Linked DNA regions of Drosophila melanogaster. The protein of the gene in region 1 interacts with the protein of each later gene in a pairwise test. Each region holds a gene or a part of one and is shown in the gene's direction. Other genes may lie near its edges. The genes, in order: CG9040, CG8507, Tsp86D and tx.

The links.
Region 2: the proteins of CG9040 (region 1) and CG8507 interact in a two-hybrid assay, tested with the Drosophila melanogaster proteins (one large-scale study listed by BioGRID).
Region 3: the proteins of CG9040 (region 1) and Tsp86D interact in a two-hybrid assay, tested with the Drosophila melanogaster proteins (one large-scale study listed by BioGRID).
Region 4: the proteins of CG9040 (region 1) and tx interact in a two-hybrid assay, tested with the Drosophila melanogaster proteins (one large-scale study listed by BioGRID).

The regions. Positions count from the first base shown.
Region 1 is NT_037436.4:13,984,458-13,991,162, forward strand, and holds CG9040 (uncharacterized protein), read left to right. Parts: upstream 1-3,420; 5' UTR 3,421-3,484; coding exon 3,485-3,970; 3' UTR 3,971-4,169; downstream 4,170-6,705. Other genes in the region: CG17364 (uncharacterized protein), read right to left, coding at 664-1,051; CG17362 (uncharacterized protein), read left to right, coding at 2,198-2,659.
Region 2 is NT_033777.3:9,787,220-9,794,920, forward strand, and holds CG8507 (uncharacterized protein), read left to right. Parts: upstream 1-4,263; 5' UTR 4,264-4,350; coding exon 4,351-4,572; intron 4,573-4,626; coding exon 4,627-4,842; intron 4,843-4,904; coding exon 4,905-5,115; intron 5,116-5,176; coding exon 5,177-5,538; intron 5,539-5,593; coding exon 5,594-5,722; 3' UTR 5,723-5,879; downstream 5,880-7,701. Other genes in the region: CG12945 (uncharacterized protein), read right to left, coding at 2,211-2,662, 2,735-2,865, 2,919-3,046, 3,101-3,241, 3,307-3,552, 3,620-3,871; CG8516 (uncharacterized protein), read left to right, coding at 6,233-6,375, 6,562-6,702, 6,771-6,901, 6,967-7,395, 7,450-7,590.
Region 3 is NT_033777.3:10,863,263-10,871,055, forward strand, and holds Tsp86D (tetraspanin 86D), read left to right. Parts: upstream 1-5,445; 5' UTR 5,446-5,770; coding exon 5,771-6,323; intron 6,324-6,380; coding exon 6,381-6,703; coding exon of another isoform or gene 6,704-6,778; 3' UTR 6,779-7,293; downstream 7,294-7,793. Other genes in the region: SelR (selenoprotein R), read right to left, coding at 373-596, 3,267-3,431, 3,547-3,714, 4,710-4,779; Fdh (formaldehyde dehydrogenase), read right to left, coding at 7,735-7,793.
Region 4 is NT_033777.3:26,437,626-26,446,302, forward strand, and holds the start of tx (taxi), read left to right. Parts: upstream 1-3,152; 5' UTR 3,153-4,111; intron 4,112-8,677. UniProt on the Drosophila melanogaster protein: Probably plays an important role in the differentiation of epidermal cells into the tendon cells that form the attachment sites for all muscles.

The DNA.
Region 1 (6,705 bases):
TTCTATCTGTTTGCACATCCATGCTGTTTTCCTACTATTTTTTTTGGAAAAACTTATAATGGGCTACCAGCGTGTGTTTTCGTATTTGGTAATTCCCGCATCATGGCCAAGATAAAATGGATGGGACCGTGAATCATGCAGTTGCAGCTGCTGCGGCAGATGCGGTGCCAGGTGGTCAGGATGTGCCAAAAATAAAAGTTAAACAAACAACCATGAAAGGACCCGAATGGCGACTGGATGTTGTGCAATTTATGGCTCTCATGATCTCGGCGGTTTTTGGACTTGGGACTCCGGAACCGAGCAAAGGTCAATGCAAACTAACGAAACGCAGCGACGGCCAAGTGCATTATCAACAAAAATTCCATTTATTTCGGTTCGCAAGTGCAGCAGCCACAAATATTCATTTACGAAATGGGATTAAACAAAGCGGCGCACAGATAAGTTTTCACAGCAAGTACTTGTATTTAAGGACTTAATTAAGTAACTGGTGTGTATATACATTTAAACAAAAATAAAAGCTGCAGAATTGGAATTATATGTACAACGAAAATACATGCAAGTTATTTTATAGTTATAGAATTTGGGATTTCTTTAAACATATTTATCAATAGCTTTAAAATAGATTTTAAAATAAAATGTAGTGATTTTTGAACCCGAACCCACCTGACTTATTATTAAGCAAGGCCTCCAATTCGTCGACGTCGTCCGGATAACTGCCATAGTCGTCATCATCAGGCACATTGGCGGCATCACGCTTCCGCGTGCGTTTCTCGGTATGCTCATGCTGTTGCTGCTGCGGTACGCCATCCAGATCCATCGTGCTGGAGATGTTCAGCAGGATCGGAATGGCGGCCGAGTCGGAGGACGTGGCCAGGACAGAGGCGGACACGGAGGCGTGGAGCAGGAGAAGGCAACCGTAGAGGAGCACGGCCTGGCCCAGTTGCATGGCCATCAAGTGGCAGCCGTGTGGATGCAGCTGCTGCTGTTTTTGATGTTGTTGCGCCATCAGCTGCAGTCGCCGCAGTAGACAAGGCAACGTTAACTTCGCCATTTTGTCATTTTCGCACCGCCAGCCGCTTCTCAACACATTCGCAATTGTTTGCGAACTTTCGCCATTTGGCCAAGAAGTTTCCGTTTGCGTCGTTAGCAGTTTCAGTTTATGTTATAGTTTGCAGCTCGAGTTTCGGTTTTTGGTTTGCGTTTCCGCTGCCTCAGTGGTTTATAGCTCGCTTTGGACAAATTGGCCAAACCCCGGTGCACATTACGTATACGTCATGCTGCACATTACGTATACGTCGCCGGCCGCTGTTGTTGCTTTTGGTGCTGGTGGTGATGGTAGTGGTGCTTCTGCTGCTGCTGCTGCTGCTGCTCCTGATGATGATGTTTAGCCTTGTCCCGCCTGCCGTTGTCAAGTGGCCAACTAGCTAGCTGCCTGCCCTGCATGATAATTTTATATAATTTGCCCCCGCTGCCACAAATCGGCTCGAGTGGCGCTTGTTTTTGTTGGTTTTACTTCTACCGTTGCCGTTGCGGTCAGCAGCGTCATCATCTTCGAGTGACCCACTAATGTGTGTTGCATGTGCAGCACCGCTGCACGTCTGCCGCCGCCTTCTAGTCGGGTATTAATTCCATGCAAACTGCAGATTTATGGCACGAACTTTGCGAATCTGGGTTGGTCCTCTTTCGGTCTGCCGCGGCTCGTTATCCCGAGCTGAAATTGCACGGAAAAAGGTCAAACATATAAATTTGTGCTTTCACTAAAATAACCATAAATAATATGAGTAGTGCGTGCCATCACATTAAATAATCACGTAGATTACGCGTTTGAAAACGTTTTCTGAAAGTGAACGCAATTTTAACTGCGTGTAGATAAAGTGGATCTATAAACGTTCGTTTTATATTGTAGACGACAAACAATATATTATTTTATTCCACAACATAAAACGTTATATATCTACTTGATTTATAAAAGTATTTACAGGTAACCACCAGGGGCTAATATTATTATCTAAAATTTCTAAAACAAATTGATAATCAAAAAAACATCTACACAGCTGGCCCAAAGTAAACGAATGTGTGTTTGTTTAATCATATTTACTTTTGATTCATGAAAAACGAGATTCGACTGATATGTTGGTATATAAACCAGAGGATTGAGCTTTCTTCGTTTAGATCACAAAATCTCCCCAAAACGAAAATGAAACTTCTTCTGGTTCTGGCATTGGCAGTCTTCGTAGCCCACGTGGCTGTGGCCCAGACAACTGATTCGTCTGACGATGGAGATTACTCTTACGATTACGCTGATGACAACGATACTGCCGGTAGCTCCGAAGACAACACTGCTGATTCTGGAGACACTAGTGATAGCTCCACTGACGTCGACAGTGGAAACGACTCTGGGGACGTCGATTCCTATGACGACTACGAGGGCTCTAGCGATGTTACGGAAGCACCAACTGCTGCTCCAGTTGTCAAAAAGAACAAAAGAGCTGGTGCCAGGAAAAACAACAGGAACAACAAGAATAAGGCAGCAGCTAAACGTCGCAATGCCGCCGCTGCCAAGAAAAGTAATAACAAGAAGGCGGCTAAGAAGCGAACACCTGTTGCCGCCAAGAAGCGGGCAAATGCTGGACCCAACAAACGTAGGCGCTCTGGATAAATCCAGTTTATTATATTCGTAGCTACAAATTATAAAAATAAAAAATTATACCAAAAAAATTTGTTCCCAAAATTACCAAGATTTTTTTCTATGACGTTTATAAGTTAGGTTTTGAATTAATATATAATAATGATAATGATATTTACCAAGAATGTGGTTGTTGGGTATGGGTGTTTATTATTATGAATTTTGTACAAAACTTGAATATCACAGAAATTTTGAAATATATTTAACTATTTCACCCAATGTTCAAAAGACAAGAAAACATTCTACATAAGTTTTTATCGGCACGTGTTTTTTCCCTCATTTGTAAATAAATATATTTTTGATAAACAAAAACATACACCGCATATACTTGAAAAATTATATAATTTTAAAGACGTTTAATGTCATATCTATTTTTTCTATAAAACTACTAGCAGGTCGCCTAACGCGTAAACCATAGACAAATTGTTCAAAAATCCAGATAAGACATTTGTGACCTTGGCTCTTTTAATATAAAAGAGTTTATATTACTTTTTCGTGCTCTAACACAAAATATAATTTCATAATTTCAACATATAGCAATCGAAAAATGTTAAACAAATACAAGCAGCACACACAGGTGCTCTAAGCCACCGAAAATTAAGACGATGAATTAAAAAACCAATATTTGCATTCTACAGATGTACATAGAAAAATAATGTAAAAAAGCTTTATATATTTATAAATTTCTTCAGAGGAGAAAAAACTATAAATACCCAGTGTTGAAGACTTTTAAACTCAGACGTTTATACCTAAGGTTACCTATCTGTTCGTTGACTCTATAGATACAAAAAAAAAAAGATGAGGCTGCTGTTGGTTTTAAGCCTGGCCATATTGGTTGCCTTCGTAACGGGTGCTGATGACACTGACGATGACTATTACGATTATTACGACTATGGTGATGACTACTATGACGACTCTGATGTAGAGTCCAGTTCGGAAAGTGGTGTTGGTGCATCCAGTAGCTCAGAAGATGATGCTAGTACCTCCGAGGACAGTTCCTCCGGCGAAGCTTCCGATACAGGTAGTTCTTCAGAAACTTCTGGAGATGGTTCCTCCGCCGAAACGACCTCCAGTTCAACTCCAACCAAGGCAGAAAAAGCCAAGAAAACTGCTGCACGCAGAGCTAGACGGCGCAGGCGCACCACCACCGCTGCTCCCAAACGCAAAGTAGCGGCAGCCGCGTCTGCCAAGAAGCAAACACCTGTTGCCCAAAAGAAGAAGACACCTGTGGCAGCCAAGAAGAAGGCGAATACTGCCGCCAACAAACGCAAACGCACAGGCTAAGCAGTTCGAAAAAAGGATAAATTCCCCATAGTCACTGAAAGTTTTTACATCAAACTTTTAAGAGGACCAAGAGACATCTTGTAGAATCTACATTAGTCTGGGAATATTTCATATGTTGTTTTCTGTACAAAAAATCCATATAAAAATACAAAGATAAGGAGACGTTTTGTAATTTACCAAAAATATACATTATTAATCCAAAATATACAACAATTTTGTATTTGAGGGCTTAAATGATCTTTCTTCGGAGAGAAACTAATCATTACAAATCGTTTCTGAATACTTAAAATCGAAAGCCAACTAAAAATCAAGTATTCCTTAAAAGGAAAAAAATTTTTTGAACGAAACATTCATTTAATAAACTGTTGTGGTTTATATACAAGTCTCTGCAGCCAGATTAGTATAAATCGTTCTAGTGGCGTAGTATTACCAAAGTCAGCTGCATTTTGCTGCATATTTTTAGGCGCCCACATTTACATTTACCAGCGCTTTGGCGCATTGTGTTTCTATTTAGACGTAAGCCAATAGCATCTATAAATAGTAATTATGCCCTCATACAAGTAGACATAAATGCACAGGGACACTTAATTACTGATGCGCACAGGCGACAATTGTTTAATGGCGAAAGGATAACGAAAAGGGAGGAGCCTGAGTAGCGCCATCGGCCACCACAATGGGACCATTGTTTTCGATTTCAATGCCGACATTCTGGCAGTGGCACTGCCAACAGAAATCCCGTGTATCCAGTGCACTGCGGCCCAGATGAAAGCCACTCCGCATCCAAGTGTTTGTGTTTGCCCGAGAGAGATCCAATCTTCCAGTGTGCTGGTGGCGGCAAAGCACACATCCATAGACACAACCACACTCACACACCGATGTTTCCTCTTGTGGCACCCGCTGGGCCGCTTAGTGAGCCAAGTGTGGCAACAATCTGAATCATCGTTTTAGTTTCCACCCTACATCCCCACCACCAGATCACCAGGGTATGAACCGATTTGTGAATTCGCCGGGAATCTTAGGTTGGGATGACCAGTCAATAACAATATCAAGCAGGAAATGGTTGCAAATTATCGAAAATTCTATGTATCTACTAGATTTGGTGTTATCTACGCAAATGTCTAAAAGTTGCATTAAATTGTGGATAACTTTGATTTGATTTATACATTCTTATATATAATTTTATTTTGTTAAAATCCTTTTTTTATTATAATAATAAAACAGCTTTGATCCTGAATGTTATAAGTATCCTATTTCAGGATCCGCCAAACTAGCTAAGCTTTTACAGGGTATTACACCACACTAACACCATTGGCAATTGTAGGCGATGGGCTGACGTGGAATCAGAGGGGAGGTGGGAGCGGAGGATAAGGCTGCTGTAATATCTGTGGCTGATGCCTTAAGAGGAAAATGCGATAATGTGCGCTAAACAATGAACAATGCAGAAATGGCATAAAAATAGCCAGAAGTGGGATATGAAGTGGGACACAGCGGCGGGAATTATAATGGAATATGTGTTTGCCTCCGAGGATGATAACGGCCAGGATGATGGCGGTCGGTGGTGTTGCTTTGGTTAGCACTCACAATGATGTGATGATGATGGCAAGTGCCCGATATATGCAGATTGTAGGTGTGGCTGCTGACGTTGATGGGCACCTTTGAGGAACAGATCGTCACATTTTAGATACTGCTTTTGACATTTACATGTTTTGCAATGCAAATCAGATGGGGCACAGACTGGGGCTAAATGAATTGGAAATTTAAAAATGACGACCATTTATTTACATAGGTCTCGCAAACAATCTTTTCAATTATGAGACAATCTTGTCCATGTTTGTGAAATATGGATAAATATTTAGAGCATTTCCTTCACATACATATTTTTATCGTTCTTTACTAGCTAAATAGTTCTATACTAACCAATCTATACATGAGTGTAGTTATATCTCTTCTAAGTTGATATCTTTTGCAATATTTAGCACATAAATCAAACTTTTGAAAATTTTTCACATTGCTCACTTTTTGATAAAAATCTTAAACGCCCAACAAAGACATAAACTTCCTCCTTGTGGATGTATAATTTGAAAAACAATTTGCATTTTCTCGAGGGCAATTTATTTTCCATTCCTTCGGTGCGGCAAAAAGTGGCTGAGGGCAGGGAAACTAAAAGTTTGCTCACTCCAAAGAAATTTTCTCTAACAAGGCATTTAGTTGGCAAACAAAAATACGTGCATATTTCTAACCCGACGGTGGGCAGAATGTTTATGTAATTACCGACACGTTTATAAGCGATGGCGTTTTTGTCAGCAGCACAAGGGGCGGCATAGGGGCAAAGGACTCGTAGAAAGTGAGCGAGTAACTAGCAAAGAGCAGAGCAATTTATTTAAGTGCGAGATATTTTTATGTCTCGGCAAACCATTAAAATGTGCATAATGCAATCCCTTCCAGCACTTTGCATATAAATTTCAACCGGCTGGGGCAAGTAGCGCCATAGCGGAAATGCAAGTCCAATAACAAGGGCAGTCGAGAACGAAAGGGATTGGCATGGGCTTAGTGGCCATTGCATACACTGTTAAAAAGGGTGTTGCGAATACAAATTTCATTTCATTCAGAATCAAAAATGTTCGCTACGTTTTCGGTGTGAATCTAGTTAGATTATTGATTTCGTAATGTGTATTTAAGGATCACATTTATTTATTTTAATTGACCTTATTATTCTGTATTTCAAAATAATATTT
Region 2 (7,701 bases), on another chromosome or scaffold:
GAGCCGATCAGATCTTTCTAGTCGCACAGAGACACGATACCACGTACTGCATACATATATACATATATACTAATCCAAACACACCACGGAAACTAACCCTAAGTTTGCACATAATCGCATCTGAAACGTAACGGCATACATATCAAATGTTTACATACTTACATACATACTGCATGATCCATCAGCCATTCCATAACCAGATATCGAAACGAAATCGAACGAAGCTATACACTAATATCTCTAATGAAAGCCAAAGTACCTACTTAAAGACATAGAATCTGTATCTACTACGATATGATAACAAAATATTTACATGGATCCATCAACGTAAGACTTCTCCGTGATCGCCACATAGAGAGCATCGCGAGGCAACCGGAAACGGAAGTGGCCGCAATTGGCCGAAAATGGCCGATGCCTCCCCCTGACTATCATTGCTGTTTAACTATTTACCACCTAACCAGAATAATACCGATTCGGACGATTCGCCCCGATCGCCATATAAGCTAATGTATAAAATACTCAAGGCCAACAACACCGACAGCCCACAGTCCGTAAAACAGATGAAAGAAGAAATTCGCAATGGCATTGTGTTTTTTGTATTATATTAAATATGTATGTACAATTTTACACTTATTTGCTGAACTTTATTGAGCAGCTTGAACTTTCTCAGTAGTAGCCAGATCGATCAGTCAGAGAGTTAGCCTAAGTCAGAATCACGTTTAAGTACAATTGCATTCGCATTCATCGTGTGAGCCAAGTAACGCGTACATCGAAGGATATTTGAAGAGCATATGGTGCACTTTTTGCAGTAGCGTAGATGGGATATAAGTTGCCTGTTTTTAAAACACCTACCTATCTATCTATATGTATGTATGGATGGATGTATCGTACGTACGTATAACATAACACAGACCGTTCCCAATTGTGGTATTCGTTATTTAAATAGTTAGTTGGCTTGTGCGTAGAGTCGTAGGCGTAGGAGTTGAACAAATTGTTTCGCATAGTTTGCTGTTGTTTGATATTAAGAGGATAAGTTTTTTTAAATTTTACCAATCGGACTAAGTGAATGATATGCTTTAAACGCTGCTATACCAATTAGCCAAATAGAGGGGCATGTAATTACATTAATTATGATGTTGCTCATCAAACTGGTAACTTTGGCTGCTGGTCCGCCGTCCAGCAGTGCCGGACAAATAAAAGTAGAACAGCCGCCAACACAAATCAGATGGGGGGACATTACCCACTAGATCTTAACAAAAACAAAATAAATTGTTGAATTCGAGTAGAGAAATTATTAATCAAGATTATGATAGCGGACCAATTTGCGTATAAGATTTGTGAAATCAATTTAGATAAATTATCTTGGTTTGCCATAGACCTGGACGATTACGACGATATGCCAGCCTTAGTTGAGAATTCTAGTTAGCCTGCCTGTGCTTTGGGTTCTGCTTGGTGTTTTACTAGGTTTAGGTACGTTTAATTGTGAACAGCAAACTGGGTTTTGACTATTCAGTATGTGCCGTATATTGGATAACATTCTCTGCATACAGTACACTTCACTAATGCGTAAAGTTACTTAGTTGCATACGAATTATAATAACAATGAATTGTAATCAAAACATAATACATTTTAGGTGCATGATTTAAAATACAACGAATAAATATATTTACACCGAAATTCTTTTCTAATTTTTTCTTACAAGTATATACACACACTATATAGATCTATATACATAGATATATAAATATATTAGTTGTATACATATTAAATTAGATTTTACAAGATTCGAAAACCGAATATTTAATTATCGCTTACATTCAATTAATACGCAACTCACAAATGAGCGCCCACTGCTAATAATATTATTATTAATAATCGCCTGAGCGCCAAGTTGTAAATATAAATGATCAACAAGTTACATATAAAAATTATATCCGATTTTTTGAAGGGCCGGCATCATAATAATAACAAGCAAAATATAAACAGTTTCGTGGCCTACTTAAAAGATCTTATTGTTGAAGATTTATCTTAATAACACTTATCGCGCAAATGAGATTAAGTACATGCAAAATAATTTAAATAAAAATTTAACTATGACAAATCAAAAAATGAAAAAATTGAATTATTTGCCGACCATAAATGGTCTCTAATAAACTGGGTAAAAATCTCGGACATTACACTTAAATTACAAATTGTTTGTTTGCGGCCGCTACACATTATCAATGTTATTATCCTCGTGATCGTCGACCAGCGTGAATCCTTCATCTTCAGCTACACAGCTTTTGCTCTTGCTTTTGCTGCTGGAATCGCTTTCATCTAAATTTTCTTTTTTCGATGGTGTGGTGGGAGCTTCCTGCTTTTCCTCTAGCTCTTGGACGCCCGAAACGTCTGGAATTCGCTGTAGCGACTCCTTTGGAACATTTCTCACGTTAATTACATTTAGCAGCATCTTTAAGTTGTCGCCCGATATGGAGTCGCCTTCGGGCGCCCGTGCATTAATGGACTGGTGAATCGTTGGTGTCCCTTGTGGCGCTGGCTTGTGTAAAAGTGACGCCCATGCTCGGGGGCTTAAAATGTATTTAAAGCACAGCTTTATGGTGTAACCCACTAAAAACACCAAAAGGACTGGTGCAAGGAGGTTATACGGGAAGGATAATCCGGCTATGGGTAAATATGGTAATTAAGTGGTAAGTGGTAATTATTGACTGTGCGAATTCTTGGTTAAATACTTACAGGACAGTTTAGTCATAGTTACCGACACCTTTTCTATCATGATTTCCAACTGCTTGATAAATATGTTATTCATGTACATAAAGAACACTTGATCTGGCATGCAAATGGAAATGCTGATTTTTGCGGATTTTCTGAATGGAAACGATCATCAATCGACTTATTTAATTATATGTTATGGTCTTACTTGATCATTTCTATCTTCTTAGTTTTTGGTGAGGCTTGGTATATGTAGCCTAACAGTCGACCAAACCAGGACGATTCAGGCTCATGGTGATGATTTACGACCTCTATCATCCTATCGATGTCTAATTCCTAATTATAAACATATAATGAGCACAATTTCACACACTTTCAGGCTAGACCTACTCTGTTGCATTCTAAATAAGTCTGAATATATCCGCACAGAAACACGCCTCCTAGTACAATTGAAATTAGTCCGACACGGAAACGTTTGTGCACAATGACGACAAGTGCAATTGCTAATGTTGCATATAGGATAAATTTCACCTAGGAATGAGAAAACCCATTAAATAGCAAATAGTCAAGTTTCCATAAAAAGGCGCAACAGGTACCTCGGTCGTTTGCGTCAGTTCAATTACATCCTTGAAAATATCCACCAATAAGGAGAAAAAGCCGTGTCGGACGTATGAGCATCCGGATCTTCCATTAAACAAAGGAGCCTCCTCGGCACTCTCCAATATCTTAGTCAGCAAAACGTCCAAATCCCGAGCATCCTGCACCCTCTCCAGTTCATCCAGTTGCGATGGGATCAGGGAGAAGAGCAGCGATCGCTTATGGACCGCCGACATAACATCGTACTAATTACACAAAAGTTACACACATATGACGTCATGTCGCCAACTTTGGTCTAAACAGCGATCATACCTGAAAACGCTTGCGCTGGAACAGCAGATTGACGAACTTCTTGAAGTATGTGAGTGCCACGGCATCCTCCATGGCCACTGGAGACACATCTGGACACGTAGGACACTGGCACAATTCACCGGGCTGATTGATATCGTTAACCAGGTCCGACCAGGCGGGATCCGGACTCAGCCAGGACTCATCGTTGCCGCTCTGACAGCATACCCTGTGCAATACCAACAGGAAACAACTGACCGCTGCCTCCGTTCTCATTGTCCTGGTTTCTCAATGTAATCACTCCTAGGTAGTAAGCACTCGATAATAATTATAATTCAGCGCAATTTCGTGGTAAGGCGGCTGATGCAAATTGGCAGTGTGACCAAGTCCAGTTAGCAACATCACAGCGTCACGTCAGTGCTGCAATATCTACTTATCACTTCAGGAAAATGTAGCTTTATATTTATTAGACAAACATGCTTTTATGATTTTTCTTCACTTCTACTGCAAATTGAATTATTTTTATTAAACATCTTTATCAAATAAATCAAACAAATTGTTGTAAATTGACCAAGATCAAAAATCGTAACTGCGAAAAACAAAGCATTAAAATAAAATAAAAGCTAGACTGTCAGCACCAAAGCTTTATGCGATCGCTAGATGGCCACACTGCGTGTTGTGAATAACTGTTTAGCCAGGTCAGCACTGCACCAATAATTGCAAGCTTTAAAACCGAAATAAAAACCACGAGGAAAATGGTTAGGTCAGCTCTCGTTGTTGCAGCCATCGCACTTTCCGTACTTATTGCACTGCAGGGCGTGGATGCCGACAAAAAGCAGAGCAAGAAGTACAGCAAGGAGGCCAACGACCCGCATTTTCAGCAAGTAAAGCAGGAGAAGTATGATCCGGATTTTAAGAGCATCCAGCGGCCATTTCGCATGGCCAAGTTGAATCTCGTGTGGGCCAAGGCGCAGAATGTAAGTGGACACCATAAGATATCTCATATTTAACCGTACTAACCTCGGTTACAGCGCTTAACAGAGCCCAAGCTCAAGTCACTGTACATGGAACTCAAGATCCACGATAAGGAGGAGATCGCTTGGAAGCAGCTCAACTCGCAGCACAAGGACAAAGACGGGCTGAAGGCCGACGAACTGCGCCGCAAGCTCATTGGCATCATGAGCAGCTACGATCTGCTAGAGCATTTTGACGACACTCAGGATACGGAGAAGCTTAAGCCCTACAAGGTACGTATCTAAATCATCTTTCCTAAGAGCAAGAGTTTCTCTACATCCAAGTTAACTTTAAGAAATTCCACGACGCCGAGGAGCGACACAGAAACAAGAGTCTTTTCAAGGACAAGAAACTCAACCGACTTTGGGAGAAGGCCGAGATTTCCGGATTTACTGCAGAGGAATTGAAATCCTTGAAACAGGAGTTTGACCATCACCAGGATAAAGTGGATGTGTACTACAGCTTGCTGGAAAACATTGGCACCGTAGACACCGACAAGCATGAAAGTGAGTTTGGCTAAAAACAGCACGAAAAGCATCAATTAATTTCATTGATTATTCTCGTTAGATGCTATTAACACGGAAGACTTGGACACCTACAATCTGATTTCGAATGATGTCAATGAGAACGACATCAAAACCCATGCGCAAAACGTGAAGAGTTTCGAGAACGACCTTAACACTCTGCGAGGACATCACACGGGCATCAAGGATCACTACGATAGGCTGGAACGCCTGGTGTCCTCCGGTCCACACAGTCAGGACTTCATTGAACCCAAGGTCCAGGGTCTATGGCGAGTGGCCCAGGCTAGCAATTTTACGGTTAAAGAACTGGAGTCCATTAAAACCGAATTGCATCACTTCGAAAGTCGCCTATTAAAGCTGCGTCACTTGCATGCCGAGCATGCTTTGCAAAAGGAGAAATACAAGGTATATGTTTCTTAATATCAATCAAGTTTGTAAGCCAACTAACAATTATTTATAGGGCGAAAAAGTGAAGGACAAAAGCAGCCGCTTTGAGGAAATGGAGGATCAGCTGAAGAAGCAAACTCGCAAAGTGGAGAAGCTCCAGGAGAACATTGAAAAAACCATCTTCAAGCACACCGAGCTTTAATAATTTGAAAGTGAAACACTGAAAGTGCCAAGCGAATAAATTAGATTTAATTGCAACTGTTTGTGTAACGCACAAAAATATTCATTCTTGCTGCTATTCAGCATAGATATAATTTTGATACCAAATATCATTTGAACATAAATAAAATCTCAAGTTTAATTTTGAACTATATACAATCTATTTTGACCTTTAAAAAATTCAATGTGGAAAAAATAAATTTGTAATATATTCAAAGTACAATATAGGGTTAAGAATAAACCGTTAAAAAAAACGATAAAATTAGTGTGACCATATGATAGCAGGCACAAAACGCGTATTTCCCTCCACCCAGTAGGACCGCACCTAGTATGACCGCATGCCAGTCGCATTATTGTTGTTGTCGTTTCGTTTGGTGGGCCAAAAAACAAGAAAATATTAGCTAAGCGAAAAGTTTAAAAAGTTAATATATATATGTGCAGCGGTCGGTGCCAGCGCTTTATGGGTACATAGTGCATATGTACACACACCGACATGGGCATGGTGGAGGCGTCGACGTCGGAACTGCACCTGGAGGCCCCAAATTCGTACACGTACCTCCTGGCGACCGTCAGCCTGACGCTCACTTTCATCGTTATGCTGGGCGCTTGTCTCTGCTGCAAGAAGCGGATCCCTAAGTAAGTCCTCCCCAATACCCAGAGGATCAGAGGATCCACATCGTTTCGATGGCTCTAGCGGGAACAGGGCGGTGCAGGCCAGAGAGAGAGTGAAAGTGGGTCTCTTTCTCCAACACTACGCCGCCCAGTTCCAGTTGGATGCACTCATGTCGCTCGCCAATCTCTCTATACCCTCTAACTCCACAGAAATGACTTGATGGGCCTGGAGGGCATGGTCAAGCTGAAGAATCCGGATGAGGTCATTGTGGTGACCAATCTGGTGGGCAACAGCGAGTCCCAGGCGGAGCTGAATGCCTCCACGGTGTCCAATGCGGACTCGGAAAAGCGGTAAGTCCCCATTTCTTTGCTGTCTACATAACTGAGCTGGAAATAACGCATCCTTAACCAATTTCCAGGTCGAGCACTGCAGCCCATCGCAGTTTGCCTGACATTCCCGTGGCCGAGAGCAATGATAATGGGTCCGAACTATATGAAACTGTGGCGGACAAGCAAATGGTAGATGGTCGCAATGCCCGTAGCCAAAGTCGTAAGTTGTATTTTAAACCCATAAAATAAGCTCATACTTAATACCGATTTTAATAACACCCACAGCACAGCCAAGCATGAAGAAACAGACCAGCGTGTCGCAGCACAGCTCTATTAGCCAGGCGGATGATGTAAGTTCGCCGTACTCTCGGGTCAAGGGTCTGCCGCACGACTACGCCAAGGTGCGGGGCACCGAACATCCCTATGCCCAGCTGAATGCCCCATCCACGTCTCATGCGGCCAACCACGGCTCTACAGCAGCAGCTGCGGCGGCGGCGGTGGTGGCCGGATCCTCCAGCGAAGGTATAGATCCAATGCACCGCAGTTCACAGCACAGCGAAGGCTCCAGAGAGCACAATGATTCAGCGCCGGCGCAGGCTGAGATTCCAGCTGCCTCTGCGATTGCAGGCATGATTTCGGCTAGCCAAGATCTTCCCTACATGACGCCGCCCATCGCCAATCCACATTTTAGCGGGGACTCACAAGACTCGTCGAGTAAGTCTGTAAAAATGGAGATAATGTCAAATCGCTAAATGTTTTATTCCACAGAGGGATACACAAGCATTAGTGTGAGGGAGCCGCTGGCCAACATTTTGGCCCAACAGCCACCTGGGAAGCCCTCGAACAGGAACCCTACATTATCGCGTGATGTTAATGACTCTCACTACGCCACTGTGTCCGATGATTCTGGTGAGTCACAAGAGAAACACCACTTCTCTCCAGGGCAATTTCAATGTTATACGTATCTTGAGTTTAATAATATACAAAATTTAATACATATATTTAGTAATACATTTAGTT
Region 3 (7,793 bases), on another chromosome or scaffold:
CAGCTGTTCCGTTCTCACCTGGTCGGCACTAACAACTACGTTCAAATTAATAGTGACAACTGCAAAAACACAACACATGCAAGCACCGTTTTATTGTAAAAAACACACGTTTATTTAGCGCGCTCACTTTAAAATTAGTACTGTGTTGAATGTGTGGGGTTACAGAGTATTCGGTATTTGGGTTTGTATAAATTAACGAACAAATTTCGAACCAAAACATTAGCTATTTACACAAACAGAGGGGCGATTGACTTGACTACGAGCTAAAATTGGCCACATTTGCGGAAAGTTAGAAAGTACACGTAGAAAAATTTCTTAACAGCAACGACACTCTGAGGCTTGCCTCCTCCGTTTGGCGGTTGATCCTCGGCATCACTGCTGGGCAATGGGCGCCGCGGTGGGCGTGGCCACGGGCGGGGACGAGGTGGCGGGATCCGCGTTCACGAACTCAATGGAGGCGGAATTGATGCAGTAGCGCTTGCGGGTCGGCTTCGGACCATCCTCGAAGACGTGACCCATGTGGGCGTTGCAGCGGGCGCAGCGGACCTCAGTGCGTATACGTTCTGGATGTGCGATTAGTAGTAAAATATTGCCCCCTATTTAGTTTGTATTTTGCCATTTCGTGGGATTAATTGGATACGTTTTGATTGTTGTTTTTTTTTTTTGTTGTGTAGCGCATTTTGTTGACATTTTTTACAATATATTCATTTTTTTGATCGTTTTGCAAGGTTAATTCAAAGTTTTTCGGTGTAAACAAATCAAACAGAAATAGAAAATTGATTGTGAAATGGGTGATAAATGTGAAGCAGAGAAAGAATCACAGAAAAGAGCGAAGAAATAACGGCAAATAAATGGGAGTGCAAATCAGAGAGCGAAGGAGGAGATGCAGCAGAGAGAGAGAGAGAGAGAGCGATAATTAACAATGGGTGGCAGGTGAAACAATATGAAATGAAGTCACATAAACCGGTGAAAATAATTGACGAATCAGGAATATAGATGATTTTCCGAACGATTTGGCGTACATGTTATTTTGGTTAATTAAGCATTTCATGTGTCGTTTTTTCGGGTGTTATAATTTCAGCGATGAGTTAAATGTTTTCGTGTTTTTGGTTAGCAAAACAAACCCCCAAAAAACGTTTACAGGCGTTGTACATTTAGTTTTTTTTTTGTTTTTGAAGCGAGTTAAAAAAAGAGAAATAGAAAATATACGAAAATACACATTATTTGGATTGTTTAAAACACTCTATATAGTTTATGGATATAATGTTGGTTAAAGTATTCGGGTTATGTTATTGAAATCAAAAGAAAATTGAGCGTGAGTAAAAAGCAACAAACTAAAACGTAAATCGAAATCATACAAATAACCAAATACAGCACCGGAAAATAATATTTTAAAATAAAAGCACCACATTCACACAGACATACACATAATGGCCCTGGCCCAAAAATAAATCCAATCGACCTTGTATAATGATCGAAATATGGTATGTGGAAAAAGCTCAATGATCTATGTAGATTCAAAACCGAAATATGTATGAAAATTGCACTTAACCGAAAAGAAAAACATATAAACTAACTAAAGGAACCCTCGTCTTATCCCAAAATAAATGATAACCTTGCGCAAAACTTAACTTCTTGCTAAGCACGTAAGTTCCTACAAAATGGGTTAATTTTTATTAACGTACAATATACATATCCTATAGATACGATGAGAATGCAAGGGGAGATACTTTTGAGAAGTAGAGTTCATCTACACAGTGAGTGAGATTGTAAACCGAAAAGAGTGCATAAACCCAGGCCAGGAACTGTAGACTCGCATTTCCGTTCATAAAACTTTCGTAAACTTTATAAAGTTATAATATAGAGATAGAGATTTGAAACCGAAACATACATAGGGTAAAAGTAGGAAAAGTATATAGCAAATGGAATCTGCTGGGCTGAACTACAATACTAAACTCTCACTCCTCGTTCCGCAATACATTTTCAAACATCGTTCTTGTGTATAAGCTATGTTTTTTTTTGTTCGTTAAACAGTTTTGCATAATAAACGCCTATAAAATAGCTAAATATCTTTCTTTGCTGGACCTGCAGCCCTCTATAGACCCGGAGTAGCATCTACCGCTGGTCTATATGGGGCTACTCCTCCGGGTGTAATGGTATTCCTTGTGGTTAGCAGGCAGATCGGTCATTATTTCTTGGACGAGGCCGTCGATGGATCCGCCTTCGATGGCGTCGCACTCTTCACGAAATCGATGGACGCGGAATTGATGCAGAAGCGTCGATGCTTGGGCGGCGGTCCATCATCGAAGACGTGGCCCATATGGGCGGAGCATCGGGAGCAGCGCACCTCGGTGCGCACCATGCCTAGCGTTTTCGAAATGACTACTGTTGGTTTAATCGGTTTACAAGTGATACTCGTGGGTGATATTCGGGTGGAATCGATATGGCATTAGTTGTATTTCATGTGGTTTTTTTTTAGAAAGAAAGAAATGTTGAGAAAGTCAGGCGGGATAGAAGAGTGGGATAAGAGAACACAATACTCGGTTAGGAATCAATTTTAGTCGCTTCTTCTCGCTTTGTTGCACATTCAGGTGCTGCAACGGCAGCAGGAACACTCACTAGTCACAAATCACCGGCACAAGACTAAACACAGTAACACAACAATGGCAAGGCCAACGGCACAACTACAGTGAACTCTGGGCAGTGGAACAGTTTTGGGGTCGGGTTCAAGATCAGATTTTAAACACGAAACAAAGCAACAAACAAGGCAACACAAACAGCACAGACTTTAAATGAATAATATTAGCTAATGGGTTTATAAGGTTTAATTAAGCCATTAACTAATAAGCCTCTTCTTATAAACATCTCACTTTATGATTTTATTTCTTTACAATGACTTATGCACACCATTTTCTTTAGAAATGGAAAACAATCAAGCTGAAGGTCATACCAAAATATGAAATATACATATGTATATGTTTATATGCTTATATAACTCTACAATTAATCGTTATCAAGGCTTCTTTATAAACTTGGTAATCTTATGATTGCTCTTATTCACACATGACAACTAGGCGAATAATTACTCTAGTCTGGGTTATATTGTCTCCTAGGTGGATAAACGCAAATGAAATTCTCAACTCTTGGGTGCGGCAACGGAACAGCAACTCAAATAAAAACATAACTCAAAACGCTTTGCAATAATCAACAGCTAAAAGTGCCGAGCAAGGTCTTGGCCAAAAGTGGGCCGCCTGGCCAATACGCACCTGGTATGCTGGCATCGCGGTGCAGCGTGACCTTGCCCTTGTCTAGGACATCGTTGAAGGCCGGCCATCCGCATCCCGAGTCGTACTTGGTCTCCGAGCTGAACAGATCCTGGTGGCACACGATGCACTGGTACACGCCCTTCTCGTAGTGTTTGTTGTAGCAACCTGTGGACATTGCATTCCATCATTTGGGAATCAGAATTGAATGCACTTTGTTCGAGGGGTGGCGTTCCATCTTGATAATGGCTTATGGCTGCATGTTTTGTTAGGAGAGACTCACCTGTGAAGGGTCGCTCGGTGCCCGCCTCCTGGGTAACCTGATACTGCACCGGGGTCAGGCGCTTGCGCAGCTCCTCCTTGTTCACCGTAACCTTCTCGCTCTTGTTATCCATAGTCGCTGCTGGTCCGGAATACCTTTTGTCCGGATTGTCGCTGTCTTGGCGTGAATCTGGAATGCAATACAATACTTTGGTATTTGATTTGCGGTCGGGTCGGTTTGAGTGTGCTTTTCGGTTCGCCAGCAGTTGGGTAATGGAAACTGAGTAGGGGATTTCGTCAAGCTTCTGTAAGATTTCCCTCATAATCTGCCCACTTATCGGTGGGACTTTCAACGAAACCTTGGGCAATCTCAACTCGCTTATTTGAATGCGGCCATCTGACGATAAGAAGCTTACTACTATCAGCCATGAGTTGCTGAAAATACTTTCTCGAAACTCATAATCATCTTGTTTTCTCATACAAACGATACCATACCATTTATGAAAATGAATTATATGAAGAAAATTTTTGGCATTTTTGGAACCCAATTTGATAAGGAAATATATACATAAATATTCTTATTCCAATATTAAACAAAAGCTATATATAGCGTACAAAATATAGAAAATACTTATCATTTTCTTAAACAATTTGTTAACAATCTTGAAAACTCAAAATCAAAGTTGTGCATCCAGGGAATTAGTAACACCAATTTTGTATACAAACTTGCCTGCTAATTAATGAAGGTGTAAACAGATTTGTTAAGTGCGGCCAACAAATGGAGTGGAGAAACGCATTGGGCCAAAAATAGTTTTATGGCTTTTTATGCTGCTTGCCCGCCGTCAATCAAACGGAGTGGCGCCCAAAGCAAACGAAGGCGAAGGAAAAGCCGAAAAAAAAACCGAAAATCGAATAGCGTAGGTGGAGCAGTCACCTTTTATTTTCGGTTTTTCCGAGTGCAACAATAGAAAAGCCAGCCAAGTGTGTCGCGGGCAATTGAAGACAATGAATTCATTGCGAGCAAAGTCAGAAAATAGCGGCTAAATTGCGTTCATATAGAATGCAAATGTATAAAAAAATCAACTCAAATTGTGTCTAAAATTAGCCGATGGCCAATCGATGAGCATGGGCTGACACGCCCACAGGTATTACAAACTATACCTGCGACTTTTTAGTGCAACTCACCTGCGAAAAAGCGTGGAATGGCGAATATTCGAGTGCGCCGCAGTGCGTGGCGAGCAGAAAGTGCAAACATTATGTGGCTAATTTCAGGTGACAACTGCACTTGGCACTGCCTGGTTATTTAATCAGCACAGCAACAGGGGGAAAATGAGCAGAGCAAGGAGGAAAAGTCAATGTTTTGTCCACTGCGCACTGCCCACGCGTACTAACTAATATTTATGCAATTCGCGTTGCCACTTCCGTCTACCACATTTCCCACATTTTCCGTTCTATTTTCGTGCGCTTTTCTGCTTTTGAACGCTTGGCGAGGAGAAAGCGCAGTGCAGAGAAAGTCGCAACTCAATTAGGGAAAATGCGCTCGCAATTGTGCTTCAATGTCACCAGCGGAGAACCGAAAAGAAAAAACACTTAATTTTCCCACACTTAAATGGTGCGTCCTTGGGTTTTCTCTAAGCTGGAAAACTACTCACCTGCTGAATAGCGCTCTAAATGGTGCTGATTCTATTTTTGGCCTTTTGTTTATGAATGCGCCAAACGCGGGCGAAAACAAGCGTGCGTCGCAATGTTACGCAGCGGTGGAAAATTAAAAACTAATACAAAAAAAGCTGCTTGGGAAAACAGCTGCACGCGATGAAAATCAAACACCTGGCTGGCTCGCGTTGCCAATCGAATGCTGGATGATAGGCAACAAAGGCAGTACGGTCACGCGAACAGCTGACTGGCCGCGCTGCCAACTGCTGCCTAATTGGACAGCACGTCTGGCAACGCCGGGCACTTTGTTATTTTTAGTGGCTCCATAAATTTGCTTATCAGTCATAAAATTTAAGCTAGTGCGTTAATTCATCATATTCGCTGCGGGGAAACACCAGAGTTAGACAGTCCACCACTGACGCACTGCGAAACTATAGCAAAACAGCCGTGCAGGCCGCTGAAGAGACCACACGCAAAGAGGGCGTCAACAAAAAGAAAAAACCGTGGGGGAGGAAACCTGGGCAAAAATACCAGGAAAAGTAATACTCATCGAAATACTCGGCTGAAAACACGACTTGCACATTCGCGTGGCCATGAGCAATCACAGATACCATCAGGGGGGCAACTACATGCACCCGCGGATCTCCACCTATCCGCACCACTTCAGCTACGTTTCCTCTTGCGTCAAGTACATGATCTTCCTGCTAAACTTCCTCTTCTGGCTCTTCGGCGGCCTGCTCCTGGCCATCGGCGTGTACGCCTTCATGGACAAACTGATGGACGGCAATGGCTGGCTGCGCTTGGACACCATCTACGATGTGATCTTCAACATCTCCCTGGTGATGATCATCGCCGGAGTCATCGTCTTCACGGTCAGCTTCGCCGGCTGTTTGGGTGCGCTGCGCGAGAACACCTGGCTGCTAAAGCTGTACTCCATGTGCCTGCTTCTCTTCTTCATACTGGAGATGTCGCTGGCCATCATCTGCTTCGTTTTCCCGCAGTACATGAACTCGTTCCTCGAGTACCAGTTCACGGACAAAATCATCCACTCGTACCGTGACGACTCCGACTTGCAAAACTTCATCGACTTTGCCCAGCAGGAGTTTAACTGCTGCGGCCTGAGCAACGCCGGCTACCAGGATTGGAGTGAGTATTTGATTCATAAGCCACAAACGAATTAATTCCATGTCCGTATGCATACAGGCAAGAACGAGTACTTCAACTGCTCATCGCCGTCGGTGGAGAGATGTGGAGTGCCCTACAGCTGCTGTATTAATGCCACCGATATCAGCTCCGGCCTAGTGAACATCATGTGTGGCTATGGCGTGCAGGTGCGTTCAGTGGCCGCCGCCAGCAAGCGCATCTGGACCAGCGGCTGCATCGAGATCGTGCGAGTATGGGTCGAGAGGAATCTGTATGTGATTGCCGGCGTTGCCCTGGGCATAGCCTTGCTGCAGTTGTTCGTCATCTATTTGGCCAAGACCCTGGAGGGACAGATCGACCTGCAGAAGTCGCGCTGGTCGTGAGTGCAATGCCACCATCCGTATCTCTACGGATATCCGCCATGCGAAGACGACCCGTATTACAATTCGCGGATGTGAGGCGGACTTTTTTGGTCCTGCCCGTGCTCAAATAATTTCAAACCGAATCCCACTCCTAGAATAATCCATAGCTCCCTATATACCATCTCTTGTGTTTTCGATAGATTTAAGTTCTAATGTCCCGCGATAATAGTATTTCAATAGTATTCTCATACTCTCCTAGGCTTAGGAAAAAGTATTTATACTCCTTTGTGTTCGTTTGCTCTGTATGTTTTTTAAACGTCAGCGCATTCTTAGTCACAAGTAAAGTCGAACACATCTAAAGTTTTACTCTTATACGTATGCAATATCAGACTATTTAAAAGACACTTGTGTATAAGCTAGCGAGTTCCATAAGAAATATGCATTTAAAATGAGATTTATATGTAACGACGAAACCAAAACTGCATGCATGTTTGTTAAATTGAAAAACATACTAGATACATAGACTTATTATCATTTTTAAGTATCTGTACGCGTGTTTGTCTGCAAACGTTGTTGTAGTGCGTATTTAAATACAGGCATTCTATACGTGTAATCGTGACTTTTTCATATGGTGAAAACAGCACAAAGTACCTGTCTTATCGCTCCACTTGGTTATTCCAATCTTGTTCTTACGATTGACCTTTAATCTACAACTTTCGGGGCCTTAGGGGATGTCCGGCAGTGAGTTTAGTTTGGGTCATCAGATAACTCTATCAATCTATAACAATGTTGCGAAATTCTTGAAATATACATACGTATTAAGTAACCGCAATCTCGAACAATTCCAAGTTGTTGAACTTCGAGATTTAGTGGGGCAGTGCAGATAAGCAAATCCAAGCAATTATGAGGAGTAAGCGCGAGAGGGACAGTAATCCGACCCCCAATGAAGATACTCTTATGTACATATACACTGGGAGTTTATTATTTTAAGCAATCGCATGCGATTGCCAACTTGTATAAAAAGTGAAAAGCAAAGAATTGTTATCTCATGCTTAGTACTTAATAATGGATCGGATACTCTCGCCCTTGTGCATCAGATCGAATGCCTCGT
Region 4 (8,677 bases), on another chromosome or scaffold:
TATTTTCACATTATCATTTTATGTTCACTTTAATTTGTAATAGAATTACTTAAACGCATCATTAAAGATTTCAGCAAATAAATATTACATTTTGAGCATGCACAAGTTAATGGTAATGCAATAAAATTCCATTCATACGTTGCTCAACCAATTAAATCGAAATACCTGCAGCATTGACAAATAAAAAGCACTTAAAGAGTTAATTTCATTTATTTTTATGTTAATCGCATTGCAATAATTGCCTATTGTCAATCCGTGAAAGTTAACAAAGTAACTTTACTATGCCATTCATAAGTCTACCAACTGATTCATATGCCCCGCACCCACGCGACCCTCACTTATGCAAATCAGCAGTATCACAGAGCTCACGAAAATTAATTATCACTAAAAATGAGACGAATAGAAAAAGGTAACGTAACCGAGCTGAGGAACAACAACTTAATCGCCTGGCATTTCCGCTCGTCCAATTCCACTCGAAATAGCCAGCTTCCACTTCCCAAAAGCCAACAAGAAATACAGGCAGAACGAAAAGATAACCTGTGCAGGTGGTTATGACCGTGAGGGAGCGTGGGCTGGCCAAGTCGAGTGTATTTCCGCTTGAAAGCGGCAATAACGATATTTGTAATAATAAATTTACGTAAAATATAAAACAAAATCAACGTTGACTCAAGACCCAGTCGCCGCCCACTCAGCGACACCAACGCTTTTTCGAGGCTGCAGACAAAGTTAACAGCCGACAAGGTAGCAACAGTACACACAAAACAGCCAGCTCAGAAGCTTGGCCCGAAGCCCCACGATGCTCACAATTAGCCGAGTCGAGAGAGTTTGTATACAAAAGTCTCTGCTTTCTCACTGCTTTCCCGTGCGATGGCCATAAATGGTCGCAGACACGTCTCACAGACTTCCTTAGCGGGATCGCCGGCCATCCAAGTGGGCCAAGAGGGAAGGGGCTAATAGCTGATGGCTTATAGCGTTTGGGGCCCCCCTTTGATCGAACTTATACTGGGCATCGCGCCTGGCTTTCTGACCATATTAAGGCAAATGCGATTTCCGAAGCTGGCAATTAAAAGCCAAAGCCAAAGCTGAAACTCAGAACATTTGCATAAGCAATTGAGCGACATGGCAGGTGGAGCAGGGGCATTATTCACGCTCAAATTAGATTAAAAGTAATGACAATTAACGCCATAAAATTCTAGTACTTAAGTAGCAATTAGTTAAACTTATATAAATTCAGTCTTTACAAGCATGCATTATGGCAATTATTAGTGTAAAAGTGCGAGAAATTATTTAAAACTGATTATTTTTTAAAATGTATATATTTTATTACCACGTTTTCAGCCCCTTTTGGCCATGCCCATATATTTTTGGACTTGGTCACAAAACAAACATTCAAAAGTGACGTTTGTTTTTTTAATTATGGCTCGCTTATTCATGTTCTTGTCTTTGGGAGTCGTCGTCGTTCGGCAGATTAAGCTGTCAGCAAAGAAACACAACATTTTGGCCACTTTGTATGTATTTTTAAATACGCTCAGTTAATCAAAAATATTCGTACATATATAATTTGATTTTCAGCTCCCTTCGCACGCAAATCAAATTAATGTTGCATGCGTTACTTTTCCACTCTCCTAAAATGTGTGACGACCTTGTGCCATGAAAAATGTATGCTTTCTGGGCATGAAAAAAAAAAGAATCATAATCAAATTTAACTGTTGTCATCATGATTTATTTACTCAAGAACAAAACACGACAAACGATGACGAACTCGCCTTCAGACAGAAGACAGAAGCACAAAGATAAATTAATCGCCAGTCAGTCACAGAGTCGATCGGTCTATTGCCCGAAGTCATTTATTCACAAATGCTCGTATATGAGTATATCGGGGCAAACTCGAGATTTAAGCCGGGTATGTCGTCATAGCTACAATAATGAGAAAACAACTTGTTTTGCCTGCAGGAGCAAATCCATTTTGCAATTATTTGCCTGTTTCAGTTAATTATAATTATTTGCGAAGCAACAAAATGCAAGCAAAAACAAACTATACAAACATGACTCTAAACAATATTCTTTGTTGAAAAATAAAAAAAAATCGGGTTCCAACAACTGAATTGTGACTTTGAAATCAGCTTAGCACTTTGAAATTAGACGCTATGTGAAAACAACTTGAGAAGTGCACACACCCAATACATCTGAACTGAAACTGATCGAAACGAATTAGAATAAATTATAAAATCCAAATATATGGACAGGAGTCAAAAGCGTCGGCTATCAGATACCCATCAAAAATATTTTAATTACAATTTAAATTGCTGAAAATTACTGAACACCACGTTTCGAAGAATTGTTATTATATATATTTATATTATCTTACAGGAAATACTTTAAATACTTGTCATGAATTAAAGTTAAAACAACAAAATTCCACCATCCATTCTTAAAACACTTAAATGACAAACAAATGAGGAGATTTCCTTGAACTTTACTTCGACGTGCCTCATAATTCGCCACGAAATCCAAGTTGATCCAAATAAATACCAAGAATGAGTATCATTTATGGTCTGGCAACCAAAGTTCAACCTTAAAAATGGAGATCCGACACAAGTCAAGCTTTGGTAGCTGATACCATCTCAATCAAAGGCGAATAAACATTTTTAACTATTTTCAAGTGAGCTCAAGCAATGTCTGACTTGTACAAATGAATGTCAAGCGCTGCTGCAGCAGCAAATAAAATTAGCAATAAATTTAAATAAATAACTGCCTGGCGATATTAGATCATACGAAATCTCAGGGGGCCGTCTACGCGTACTCGTGGTAGCACTCAAAACACTCGAAACGAAACCGAAAATCCATCCGAATCGGAAATCACTCAAGAGAGTGCGCCAAAGACCAACTGGGACCGTACTATGCGATACAGTACGATACGATACGATCCGATACGATACGATCCCATCCGATCCGGCCAACGCAAAAAGCACCCACACATCGGGTGGATGTGGATATTTGGGGAAAGAGAGAACTGGTTTCTCTTCAATGACTTTGTGCTGAGCTGTGCTGTGTTGTGTTGTGTTGTGCGCTGGGCTGTTTTGTGTTGGCGTTGGCGAGCGCCAGTGGGTTTCTCGGTTTATTGGTCGTCGCTGAGAAAACGAGACTGTGCTGCCTTTTAATGCGGCATTTCATTCATTGATCGTTCCAATAGCGCGCCGCACGCTCAGCGCAGCGGACAAGTGAGCCAAAAGTCCGACTTCCACTGCCATCGCCGCCCACCTGAGCCGCTAACCTGGCTAACGGAGTCAAAGCCAACTGGGGGCAGTAGTCAGCTGATTTAGCTGCCACCGCATCCCAAGCCAAACCAAGTCAGACCATCCCAGCGATCCGCGAGATATATCTATTCAGTGCACAGCCGACAAGCGCAGCAGGCGGACGCAGCGCAGCATTTTCTCCGTGTATTTTCGTATGCCATCTCGGGATATTGGATACAGATACAGATTCCGAGATACAGATACACAGAACGCGAGCGACGCGCACTCATAGATATTTTTAGCAACCGGCCTCACGCACACCGCCGCACACATTAGTACCGCCGCACTGACACACGCGGCTTGCACGTTTTCACGGAAAATCCATTCTTCGAGGCTTTTCCAGCAGGCCCAAGATAAACACAACTCAAGAATGCGCGAAAACCGTACCGAAGTTATTATCAATAGTTAAACCAGCGGCGCAATCACAACCGCAACAACCACAACCACCGCAATATTAATTCAAACCAAAACAAGTTCCAGAAGTTTTTGAGGAAATAAAAACTGAAAACAAACCTTTTTTGTTGTGTTAACATGCCAAATTTATGCATGAGCTAATAACTTTAAATCCGAAAAGAATAAAAAAAAGTCCAAACAAAACAAAATTCAAACAAAGATCGCATATCAAAATTAGTTGGGTGACTAATTAGACAGCGCGTTGTCGGAATTTCAATTTGCATACTTTGGCGCAACTTTAATGAACCAAAAATTAAAATAAAAACATCAACAAATCTTAATCAGAGTGCACAACTGAATTCAAATCATCCTGAAAGACCAATCCCGCAGCCATACATTGTTGGATTTATGAAATCAAAAAGGTAAATATACCGCCGCCATTTATCAGACATAAGCGTTCAGATATAGAAAAGATATAGAAGATCTGCCCGATCTCTTGTTGCCGCCCCAATAAAAATAGACAAAAGGCATTCCTCTGTCCAATCACGTTAGTGGCTGGCAGATGGGGCAGGGCGGGCTTTTAAGAAACTTCTGAAACATTTATTTGTCCAAGGTGTTGAAAAGCCAGATGTGTGCAGGGGAAAATGTTTTCGAGCTGCTCAGCAGGGAAAACGGCGACGACAGCCAGTTGTCAACTGATTTTCAAAGGTTACCGAAGGGAAGCAGCAACTTGGCTGCGTTTGTTTGCGACCAAAGTAGGGGGAACAGTTTAATTAATGTGCAAACAAAAGCTGTGAATTCTCATCATCAATGAGAGTCCCGCTTAACCTGCCACTCACTTTAAATCTGTGATGTGCTAATCAACGCCGGCATTTATTTATTTACTTTCATTTTCGCCATACCATTCGGCAACAAGCACTATGTTTGCCCAAATAATCGAGTAAAATTGGTTTCTGGCAGCCAGTCAATCGCCGATTTTAATTTGGCATTTATTTATTTAATATATTAATATATTATTCATTTTGTCGAAAGCTAAAATAAACTAGCATCTCATGGGCTGACTCAATACATGATTAAAAAATGTTATTCGTCATAAATATTTTATGATTTACAAAAAAAAAATTCGCCAAAAATACACGCATTAATCGAGTCAAATTTTAATGATTTTTCTGCCATGGAAAGGTGCATCTAAAATTAAATTAGTTTATGGACACATGAGTCTATTGCTACCCTATATATACTTGCCTACCTCATTGTTTGCTGTCCCCCTGACCCAAATCTCGATCGTATGTGGGAAAAGCCAGCGCCCCTCCTTGCAAAGAGACTTAAACAATAACAATAGCAGGAATAAATCAAGAAAAATAAAAGTTAGTCGTAGGCAAATGCCAGAGACCTGTCAAAAAATCAAGCAAATCAAAAGCCGATGGGTAATACAAAACCACACAGAAAGCTATCAAAATATAACTCATACGTATTCGTATTTATCCACACGGTGGTGGAAGGGAGACGGTGAATGTAAACACGGCCACATCACACATACGCAGTGTGTGCCAATTTTAATAAACAAACTCAACGTAAATGGAAAATCAAACAAAATCATTTGGCCAAAGCAATGGCAACAAATCAACAGAAGAAAAAACAAAACGAAATAAAAGGAAAGAAGCGTAAAAAAATCAAAAGACGGCAAAAAAAGAGATGGGTAAAATAACAAATAAGAACTTGCCGCAGGCCGGCTAAAAATAATAGCTGCCAACGGTAGCACACACGAGACTAGCATCAGGGGGACGTGCAACGTGCAACTGGCAACAGCCAACAGCACGAGACAACAGCAACCACACACACACACACACGCGCAACTAGCTAGGCGAGCAACAACAAAGGTTATAGACTATAGGTGACTATGTATATAGTATCGGCAACAAAGTCGAAGCCGAATGAAAGATTTTGACGCTTTCCACAAAAAGCAAATTAAGAATCACAAATCGAGGCAGATAAAAAATAGATAGAGCGCTACGAAAATAAGAAAACGAAAATAGTGAAGGAAGAAAATTCAAGTTGCATACAATGAAAACTAATTTTAGAGCTGTGGAAAAGACAACAACAACAAAACGAATCAAAAACACGGCAGGCACAGAGACAATCTGAATCAGTCGGAGATTCCATAGCGAATCGGTCCAGAGGGCAGCTCTTGAAGTTACGAAAGACAAAGCAACTTTGGATTTCATTCAAAAGCAATAATTAAAGTTGAAAGTTTAGTTCTTGATGATGATTTTACTACTTTAGTTACTTTTTCAATTGAAGGATTACTAATATTTATAAATCAAAGTTTAGATCCGTTTACCATGCTAACTTTATCTTGTCAAGAGAAAACATTGTTCAAACTAAGTCATCTACCCTCGTTATAGCAATGCCTCATGTGGTTCAGTTGCTTTTTTTTCCGTGCCCAAGCAGCAGACGCTTCATTTTCCATTTAACCGCACCCGACTGCCGAAATCCTTGAATTCAACAATTCCTCCTGCCCCGATTTTCCCCCCGGAAAACCCATGGGCGCGCAGACAAGCGTGCAGAAAAAGTTCTAAATTTAATGGCTACACCTAAAAATGCAGCGACTGCAACCGAACCAAAAGTGAAGGGCAGACTGCAGAGGGAGGAGGAGCCACTCGCCGGTAGTTTCAAGTGCACTTCGGCTAGGCCTGGCTAACTTCCCCGTCCCCATTCCCATTCCATCTGATTTTCCCCAAAAAAAAAAAAGTATTTTATATATCTGTGGAACGGGCCGACCCACCCACACGCCCCTGCCCCGCCCCTCGACCCCTTCACGCCTCGTCGCACGCACGGCTCGCCTTTTGTCTACCAAACTGTTGGTAAAAGAGAATGGGATCAGGAAAAGGGGTGCACTGAAACAAAATTCTTCAACTGCAAATAATTGTAAGGAAAAAAACTTTAAGAATTTTTTGTTGTCAAAAAGCTCAACATTTTATTTGAATATGAGATCTTATAAATATATCATATAACAAAAACACAACTTAGTTTGATAAGCTGAAATGTTATAAGCAGTAATCAAACATAACAGCTTTATTGTATTTGATTGAACGTATTTCTTTCACATTCCTCCGATTTTTCTCAGTGTCAAAATGAAATGTTGGGCTTTTGTGTAAGAGGAACTGTTCTATGTTTGTTGTCTGTGCATTTCAATTGGGCGCTTTCTGCATTGTGCCGGCGTGTAATTGAAAACTTAAGCAGAGGCACCACCCCGCCCTCCTTCCCCCCCCCCCACCGCTCACTTTGTCCACGAAAAGCGCGCAACAAATTTTCCAATCAACAGAGAACGAAACAGGCCCTATGCACTATAAACTGCGCCCCGCTAACTTCCTGCTCCACTTCCTTGCAGCATATCCTGTATCCCTCCGGTTGCGACTCCGAAAATCAGGAGGCCGCTTGTTGCTGTTTGTTCAACAAACGTTTATTAGCCGCGAATACTTTTAATCGCATGCAATTTGTTGATTGCGGACAGTCGTTGCACTTTCCACGCTTTTCCACCCACCCAGCGAAAAGGCCCACTTTAAGCACACGGAACTAGGTAATTTTCACGTCGTTTTGGACCGGAGGGCGGGAAAATGGGAAAATTGGGCGGAGGGGAGCGAGGGGAGTGAGCAGGTGAACAACGTTTGCCGCCCCTCTTTGAAGACGGTGCACAAATTTTTCTGTGTTGCGCGCTTAATTGCAGCTTGTTTGTTGCATGTCGCAAACTTTTCACGATGCCCTTACAACTCAAGTGGGTTCCACTGACTTGGGGGCGGGTCTTTTAAAGAATGACATTCGTTTCGTACCATGCTTTAAAAATAATGTATTAACGAAATTTATATGTATATAGATATGTAGAGTAGAGGATAGATACTAAGCATATTCTAAAAGCATTTAAAACTTTTTGAAAGGGCATGCAATCCATGCGGATCTTTTCCAACTTAAAAACTTCTTTCTGCTGGGTCTTTAAGCATTTCTTAGGATTGCGTGGTAAAAATTAATTATACCTCGAAACAGGGGCGAAACGCCAAAAGAAAATGCCGGCACGAAGTGAAGAACCTAGCCACGTGTTGAAAGTTGAGGCAGGGAAAGGTGATTTGAATGGAGATTTGCTGGGATTTCAAGATGAGCTGTGCTGAATCTCTTGGCATGCATTCTCTCTGGTTTTTTTTTTTTTTTTTTTTATTGCTGCCAGACAAACAAACATTAACGGTAATCGAAGAAAAGTGCTCACTTAAGGAGAAACACCTCATAACTCGTTTAGGCCAAGCCAAGAGCGAGCTCTGGGAATGGTCAAAGCTATGCAACAAGTGTCAAGCAGGCCAACAACGAGCCAACATGCTGGCAATCCAAGCCAATGCGAGCCGGATTGAATCGGGCAAGGTGGCCAGAATCGTCTAGTGCCAATTTTGGACAATCTGCACTAAATTGTCCATTTAAGTGGGCCCGGCTAAACCGACTAACTCGACGTTAGCTGCTCCCCTTAGATCAACTGACTGCAATCAATCTGGCTGCATTTACACCTCTGCATTCAGACTGGCAAACTGGAAGGTTGGAAGGCTGGTTAGCTGACTAGCTGGCTAGCTGGCAAAATGGCAAACTGGCGATTTATGAGGCCAAGGCACGTTACGTGCAAGGGCGTTAGCATCGATGCAGAAACATTTCTATCTCCATACACATTCGCACAGACCATGTGTATCTGCAACTGTTTGGGAGGTGGAAATGACGGCGTTGCATTGCGTTGCGTTGGCTTCATGTTACATTTTCATGTAACTTAATTCTTGCATTAAAATGCATTCATTAACCGTTGCCTTTGTTGTTTGTTTTGCGCTGCTTTGTTGCATTTCCAACCGCCGAACAGTCACCGCAAAATGTATCCGCCCCGCATTCAACTCTCGATAGAGGGGAAAATATTTCATATAGCTGACCTACCGCACCACACAAAAGAAAATAATAAACATTTC